Neodiprion lecontei: one gene and its partner. The protein of the gene in region 2 purifies or fractionates together with the protein of the main gene of each other region. This does not show direct contact. Links are inferred from orthologs where the notes say so. Each region holds a gene or a part of one and is shown on either strand. Other genes may lie near its edges.

The links. Proteins that work in one complex are often made in the same cells at the same time.
Region 1: the proteins of RISC-loading complex subunit tarbp2 (region 2) and endoribonuclease Dicer purify together in Drosophila melanogaster (affinity purification with western blotting; 9 studies listed by BioGRID, with this or other methods). This does not show direct contact. The link is inferred for Neodiprion lecontei from reciprocal best matches to the Drosophila melanogaster genes loqs and Dcr-2.

Annotation. Positions count from the first base shown.
Region 1 is NC_060266.1:18,273,818-18,277,575, reverse strand, and holds the start of endoribonuclease Dicer, read left to right. Parts: upstream 1-918; 5' UTR 919-1,526; exon of another isoform or gene 1,527-1,543; intron 1,544-1,549; exon of another isoform or gene 1,550-1,769; intron 1,770-2,018; 5' UTR 2,019-2,022; coding exon 2,023-2,180; intron 2,181-2,608; coding exon 2,609-2,786; intron 2,787-3,277; coding exon 3,278-3,517; intron 3,518-3,605; coding exon 3,606-3,758.
Region 2 is NC_060261.1:39,599,263-39,603,020, reverse strand, and holds the start of RISC-loading complex subunit tarbp2, read left to right. Parts: upstream 1-1,389; 5' UTR 1,390-1,619; intron 1,620-2,849; 5' UTR 2,850-2,858; coding exon 2,859-3,174; intron 3,175-3,758. Other genes in the region: general transcription and DNA repair factor IIH helicase subunit XPB, read right to left, coding at 1-128, 230-263.

The DNA of each region.
Region 1 (3,758 bases), on a different chromosome or scaffold from region 2:
TATTAAAATTCTTTTGAGTAATTGTAAACTACACGATGTGGTCCAATTGAATTTTTTTCTCTAACGTTATTCCTGTGAAATAATAACAAATAGACAAATAAATTTACTCCGTTTTTGGAGTATTCAAATGGTGTGATCGGAACGAGTCTTTTACAGTCAATATGTGAATGGGCTATGGTTACCAAAGTTTTTTGGGTAGCTGATCAAGGATTTCACATTACTTTGAAAAATCAATTTGTTTAAATAATTTGCTTGACCAGTCAATGTGAATATGTAAGCTCCATGAAGTTCCCGATGTTTTCGGAATTTGAAATTATGTTGAGAATTCGACATTACGTTTCCAAAGGTAATTTGTTTAAATAAATTATGAAAAACAATTGAAATTTGAAAAAAAAACATAATCATTTCCATTAATTGTAATGGATAACAGAAAAATTACAATTGTTCCAAGTAATTGTAATTAGTAGCAGAAAAATTACAATTTTTTCAAGTAATTTTAATTGACAACAAAAAAATTACAATTATTTCGAGTAATTGTCGTTGATAATCATAAAATTACAATTGTTTATACTAACTGTAATTGGTAAATCAAAATTTATAATTATTTCCCGCAATTGTAATTAGTTACTAAATATTACAGTTATTCACAGTCATTGTAATTTACGGGTAATGAAATGACGAAAGTAATTTCTGCTGCCCAATTCTGATTACATCTAGGGGGAAATCTGGGGAGATTTTACTTCCTTCACGGTTCGTTTTTTGCTGTTGTAGCGTGGCGCTACTGGCTGTCACAGCATGCAAGGTCCCTAGATTAGGAAGGTCAAGACACGCGTGTTCCAGTTTTTCTGACTATAACATGGGCAAAAATGTTCTATGCGCGTTCGCCCAAAAAATATCAAACTTACATTACCGCATTAACTAGGTTTGACCGATCTTGCTCAATTTTTTAAGGTTAAGCATTACCGAGTTGCGCCTTTAGTATCCTGACGTGCACGAAATAAATTGAACCACGTATATATTTTGAGGTTAATCATTGTGACAGGTCAGGAATTAGAACCACACCGGGTGCTTTCCATTTAGAGCACAGTGTGACAAATTTCTATTGTAAGCGGCCAATCCGGGCAAAGAAATAGACCAGAAATGTTTACACTGTGTCATATTGTGCTCTAAATGGAAAGCATCGATTGTCATACGAAACTTTTGGCGCATTCTCACTAATTTTTTTGTCCACGCGTGTCGTGACCACTGGTCGTGACCTTCCTAATCTGGGGACCTTGACAGCCAGACCGTGCACAGCATCATTGCGCTGGCCGTGAAAATTCAGCCTAAGTGTAGGGCACTGCCATTACCTCCACGCTTTCAGCGCCCTGCGAGATACGTCAAACATAGTTAGCCGGCCTTAGAAATTTTTCGTCAAAGATTTGAAGCATCGAAGCACTGCGCGATTCAGGGATCCAGCAGAGATCCGGCGAATTGTCAGTGCATCAAAGAAGCAGTGTCTGGGAGTCCCCGTGTTTTATTCTCCGGTACCACTTCCCAAATCGTGAGGAAACGCTTTCCACCAATTGAATTGTACAACTGTTCTCAGTAATATACCGTGTACTTGAAAATTTCCTCTCATTGAAGTGATCAATATGTTTTTGTATTTCTGTATGGTTTTACTAGTTGTTTTGTAACACGAAAATCTAACCTAACCTGTAACGTCGATTCGACTACATTTGTTTTCAAATCTTCATAGCTTTTTGGTTGTTTGTCTCAACAGAAAAGAGGTAAACTGAGGTTTTAATAATAATTTAAAGTTTTGTATTAGCAAAATCATAATCAATAACTAAACTACCGGTTTATAACTGTAGTCGCTACTTCCGAAGATAAGTAACATGAAAAATAAAAAGTCTGATGTTTCCAGCAGATTTTGCTAATTAATCTTTTACCAATGCCACCCATTAATTTACGTCTTAGACTCGTAACAACATTGAATTATAATTAATCTAAAATCTAAAATATTTCTGTTTCCTTAGCATCATGGTACAGCCAATCGAAGAATTTTCAGCCAGGCCATATCAGATTGATCTGTATGAGAGAGCCGTCCAGTATAACAGTATCATATACTTGCCAACAGGGGCAGGAAAGACATACATTGCTGTCATGATCATAAAAAAATTGAGCGGCGATGTGATCAAGTAATCATTTATTCATTGTATTTTATAACTCCTCCTCCGCCATCCAGTTCTTATTCTAGACTAGTTAGTCCTGGTCAGAACTCATTTTTAATAATACAAGTTTCAACTCATTCTTAAATATAAGTCACATTATGACATGTACTTTCATAGTTTCAATTCTACTTGTCAATGGATTATTGTACATATATTAGTTTACAAGTCACCGGTCTAACTTTATAAACAACTGATCCTGCTTTTTGAACAAATCTATGATTATTCACAGAGTTTAGCATGAGCGTTTGGTGATGAAATCAATCCATTAATATTTTCTAATGTAATTCACTTATATCTTGTGTATTTTTTTTCTGTCACTTATTGATTTACTTATTAATTCATTTTCTAGGGCTGAAGCTTACTAATAATTCAACGATTGTTTGCTTTTTTCTTAGGCCTTACAGTGTCGGGGGTAAAAGAACAATTTTTGCAGTGAATACTGTTGCTCTGGCCGATCAGCAATTAAGATACTTACAAAGACATACTCATTTAAATTGTAGCAGTTACACAGGCGAAATGCAGGTTGATTATTGGAGCAGAGATAAATGGTTACAAGAATTGGAGGATAATCAGGTATTACTCAATATAAATATTATCTATATTTCCTGAAACTTTGTAATACCAGTAGTGTAGATAAAGTATTTCAATTGCCATCAATTGATGGCAAACTAAAACTTTTGTCATCATTTTCAATGAATACCGCAATAATTAGAAAATTCAATTTCTAACCAGCATTCAGGTATTTTCTTTCATTTTCGCGATTATTTGCAACACATGGACAACAACAAAGTTCAAATATATGTACAATGAAGCTCAAACTTTTTTTTTCTTTAAGAAATTATCTGTTTAAAGAACATTTAATCGTTATTTTGATGTCTGCAATAGTTTTGAGAGTTATCACAGTTAGTCATTCCAAGGTGGTTTTTATCTCAATTTCCTTAATGCAAAGGACCCTGCAATCGTTTAAATTCAAGATGATTTTGTGTACATACTAATATGTCGTTATCTCAAATTATTATATCAATATTGATGTTGAAATATACCTGCTACTAACCGATTTCCAGGTCCTAGTTATGACTTCCCAAATATTCCTTGATATATTGAATCATGGCTATATATCATTGAGCCAAGTAAATCTCATGATTTTTGATGAGTGTCACCGAGCTGTGAACGACCATCCGATGCGTTTGATAATGCAGCGTTTTAAGGATTGCCCAAAGGACCAGCAACCAAGAGTCTTGGGCCTAACAGCGACTCTTCTGAACGGCAATATCAAAGTTGCAAAGCTTGACGAGACGATAACAGTAAGTTAACAGAATTATTTATATAAACCTACTCTGTGGATTTCTATTTTTATTTTATGCTTCATGTTTTATAAATGTATTTTCAAAGGATTTAGAAACTACGTTTCATGGAAAAATTATCGCTGTTGAATCATTGATTGGCGTTAGAGGCTATGCTACAAACCCTATAGAATCCATGGTCAGATTCAGTCCACCGTTAAGGCTGACAGTACTAGAATCGACAATGGCACGATTGATACAA
Region 2 (3,758 bases):
CCCTTCGTCTTGTTTTTCAATATCATTTTTAGCCGCATCAGGAATGCCTTCAGTATCACCACCATCACCGTGGTCGTCGTCGAAATATTCATCGTGATCTTCCTTACGTTTTTTCCATTTGCCCTTGTCTATATGATAAATAAATTGAGAACCGTATGAGTATGAGAAATTAAAAAATTCGAAGTGTATCTCTAAACGAACGGTGAAAAAGTGTTCAAGGGTTATGTACCATTATCTTTTTTGAATCGCTTTGGCGGGCCCATGATAGCCCCGCTTAAAAATTAGTCACAGGCAAAATGATTTGTACACTGATTCAACGCCGTCACACCTTGACACTGAAAAATCAGTCGATGTAAATCCCGGTAAATAAACTTATAACCACTACACAACTCTCACATTGCGGACTGGCAACGGTCAGCACTGTATCTGGTTTGACATAACCTCACAGCCCTCACAGGCAACCTGAAGTTTGGCTGAAGTATGACTTGAAGTGCGTTTCATGTTAAGTTAGGTCAGCTATCTCGATCAGAGCTGTCAGTTTTCTGAGCAAAACCGAGAAAAAAAACGATCTGCGCAGCATGTTGTAACCGTGGTTGTAACTTGAAAAAGCGAATTGCAATAGTCGTAATATGCATTATTATAAGGGACGAGCGATTGAATGATCACTAAACACGTTACAATTGACAACTAATGAAACTTGATCTTACTAAGAAAGTAAAATTAAAAGCCAGATAATTATAATTACATATTTATACTTCGGTTTAAAATTCTCTCCGATACGCGATCAATGAATGATGAGAACCAGGTGTTACAGCACGATTATCGAAAGTGTAAGTCAAAATTCGGTGTTATATTCGCCAAGAGAACAGGATTGTTGTTCAAGTCGGTTTTAAAGTATACCTCGAATATCAAAATATTTACTAATTGAAAGGAAAAAATCGCGCGTTATTTGTTGATCGTACATGGACTGCCGTAATCCTGTTGCGTCCGTGTGGACATGCATTAAAGTCGGCCTGTTTACACCACGGACTATCCACGTGGTCGAGTTTTTGCTGAAACGATCTAGATACACTGTTTATTCGGCTCTCCTGTAATCAATCAACGGTTTTGGTAACCAAAACTTGGCACCCAGGCAAGTTTAAGGCTTGCGCATCGAGTACGGCGCATAGATTGCGCTCATCGCTAAGAACGCACGAATTACGTTATTCGCGCGAATAATTTTACGCATGATTATTGGCAACCGGCAATGACAGAAGAAAATAAAATACCGTAGTTCACCTGTTTTAGAATTGAATGACATCCGCAGCTTGCTTCAGTGCGAATATCGTGACAGTAACAATCTTATAATCGTAGAACACAATCATACGGTGCCTGGGCGAAGCGCGCATGCCGGCGGCGCAAAAGTTCACAGCGCAGGTCTGATGTAGCAGAGAGCATATTGCTGCAGAGCCGCAAACAAGGAAGGATTCTCCGGTAGTCCATAAACCATTTTTCTGTCGTCAAACGGATCAAGCTTTTTGTGAGACTTGGATCGGTCACAAAAAGCGGGATTCGCTTTTCGCATAGGAATTGGCGAGCCGCAGAAGTCAGGATATCTGTACTTTGCTGGGTGGTTAATTGTGAGTATAAGCCTCATAACACCGTCGAACCTCTTCGCGATCCACGCATATCTACGAGTGGCAGCCTCGAGCTAGCTTCGCTCGATGTCACGATGCGTGTCTGTGGGCGTTAGATCTTTATTTCATTCCTTCTACAACTTCTACTACCCTCAAGATCTAACCTTTCTTCATCCATCCATCCTCCAATCGTCCCTCATCGTCGCACCGGTCTGTCCTTACTTACCAATTTAAGATTCAATCGATGAAAATTTTATAACAAACATGGCCGTCCGCCGGTGTCTTATTACCTGCTTACACCTCTGAATAACAAAGGTCTACGGACGTATTTTTGTCCCGCGTTTCATTCGGATCAAGGACCGGCAAGTGCCTGATGGGCTCAACGCGTCATCGTAGAACCCAGCGTACTTTCTGTCCTTCACCTCACTTACCGCGTGTTTGTTTCGGACGAACCAGTCTAGTTATGTGACGACGATCTCCTATTTTCGCAATACAACAAGCGTGCTCTTCGACGACTTGTCACTTCACAAAAATACAGCATGATATCTACGGCTATTCGCCGCAGGATTTTTCATCCACAATTTGTGTCAAATTTACAAAAGTATTTGTGGAACTCCTTTCGGGACGTGTAAATTTTTTACAACGAAAGTGTCGAAGGATTGATCTTAAGGTTGATAAGTATTCAGATACGGCAGGTTTTAGAGTTCGGTAAACCGCAATATTTGAACCGGTATGTGGAGTGATTATTTCTAAACTCTAATCTTATCGGTAAGTCGGATGCTAAAGGATATCATTGAAGCATGTGACTTACCCCTGAAATTACTTTCAGGATTAGCTGTATGGTTAGGCATTAAATAACCATGTCGATTCTGATATTTTAATATGACAAATCTGGGTCAGAATGCAAAAGTAGATGTAGAGTTGTTCATTTGAGAGTCTGTTTGTAGCTCATTTTCAAAAATAGAAAATCCACTTCCGTCAGTATCTAAAAAATATGCATCGAATAAGTGAACGGTAACAATTCAATCTCACAGAAATATTGATTACTCTCTAAAAATTTTTGTACAAGCTTCAAATTTTTAAGGTGATATTTAATTTTCCTCAGTCGAGCAATAAGCTGCTCACTTGATTTCACAGAAATAGATATGCACATATGTCTAAATATTAGCTCAGTTGTTGCGCAAAATATTTTCCTTCTCAACAAAACGATAATTATTATTTTTTGTTTTACAGAATAATAACATGGACGAGATGCGTCATTCTCAACAAGTCGTGCCCAATATCATGAGTGGAATTGGGGTTCAAACGATTCATCCTAACAGCGTACATCGTCATGGCAGGAATCGTGTGACGATGCACACTCTTATGTCCGAGGCATTACCGTTGGACGAGGCAGCACGTTTAGAAATGAAGGCAATGCCTGCTAAAACTCCTGTTTCCGTTTTGCAAGAGCTTCTGTCTCGCAGAGGCACTACCCCAAAATATGAACTTGTACAAATAGAGGGTGCCATACATGAACCTACCTTCCGTTATCGTGTCACTGTCTCTGATGTTGTTGGTAAGCATGTCCTATAAATTTTTTCACCTAAGAGTTTGTGTAAATGTTGAAGTAAATAGTTGGCCGTATTAAATGTTAAGTAATTAATTGAGAGTTCAATTCTTTTGTGTAAAACAAGGGTCTGACAAATGGTTTTCTTTTACCCAGTTCGTTTGTTGATGGAATCCAGTAAATAAGGATAATTGATGAAAATTAATTTTGTAAGCATGATAGCGTAGGTTCTACACTTTTATCAAAATATTTTTAACTGTCACTACAAATAATTGTCTAAGTTCTTCACTAATTGTTCGCATTCTTGTAATACAACAAGGCTGAAATATGATTTTCAATTACCTCATACTAGTGTCAACCAATATGAATGAGTGAGAGTGTTATTTTGATGTAATAAATGATTGAACATCAATTTCCTAAGCATGGTAGCTTATATTGAAATATCTGTTCACCCTTTCAATTTCAATGGAAATTATAAGTAGCACTGATTTTTTTCAATCATATAATATTCTATTCCAATCCAGTCCATTACTAAATCATTCAACATTGAAATTGATACTTATTTGATGTTTGTCATACTCCTAAATATTTTC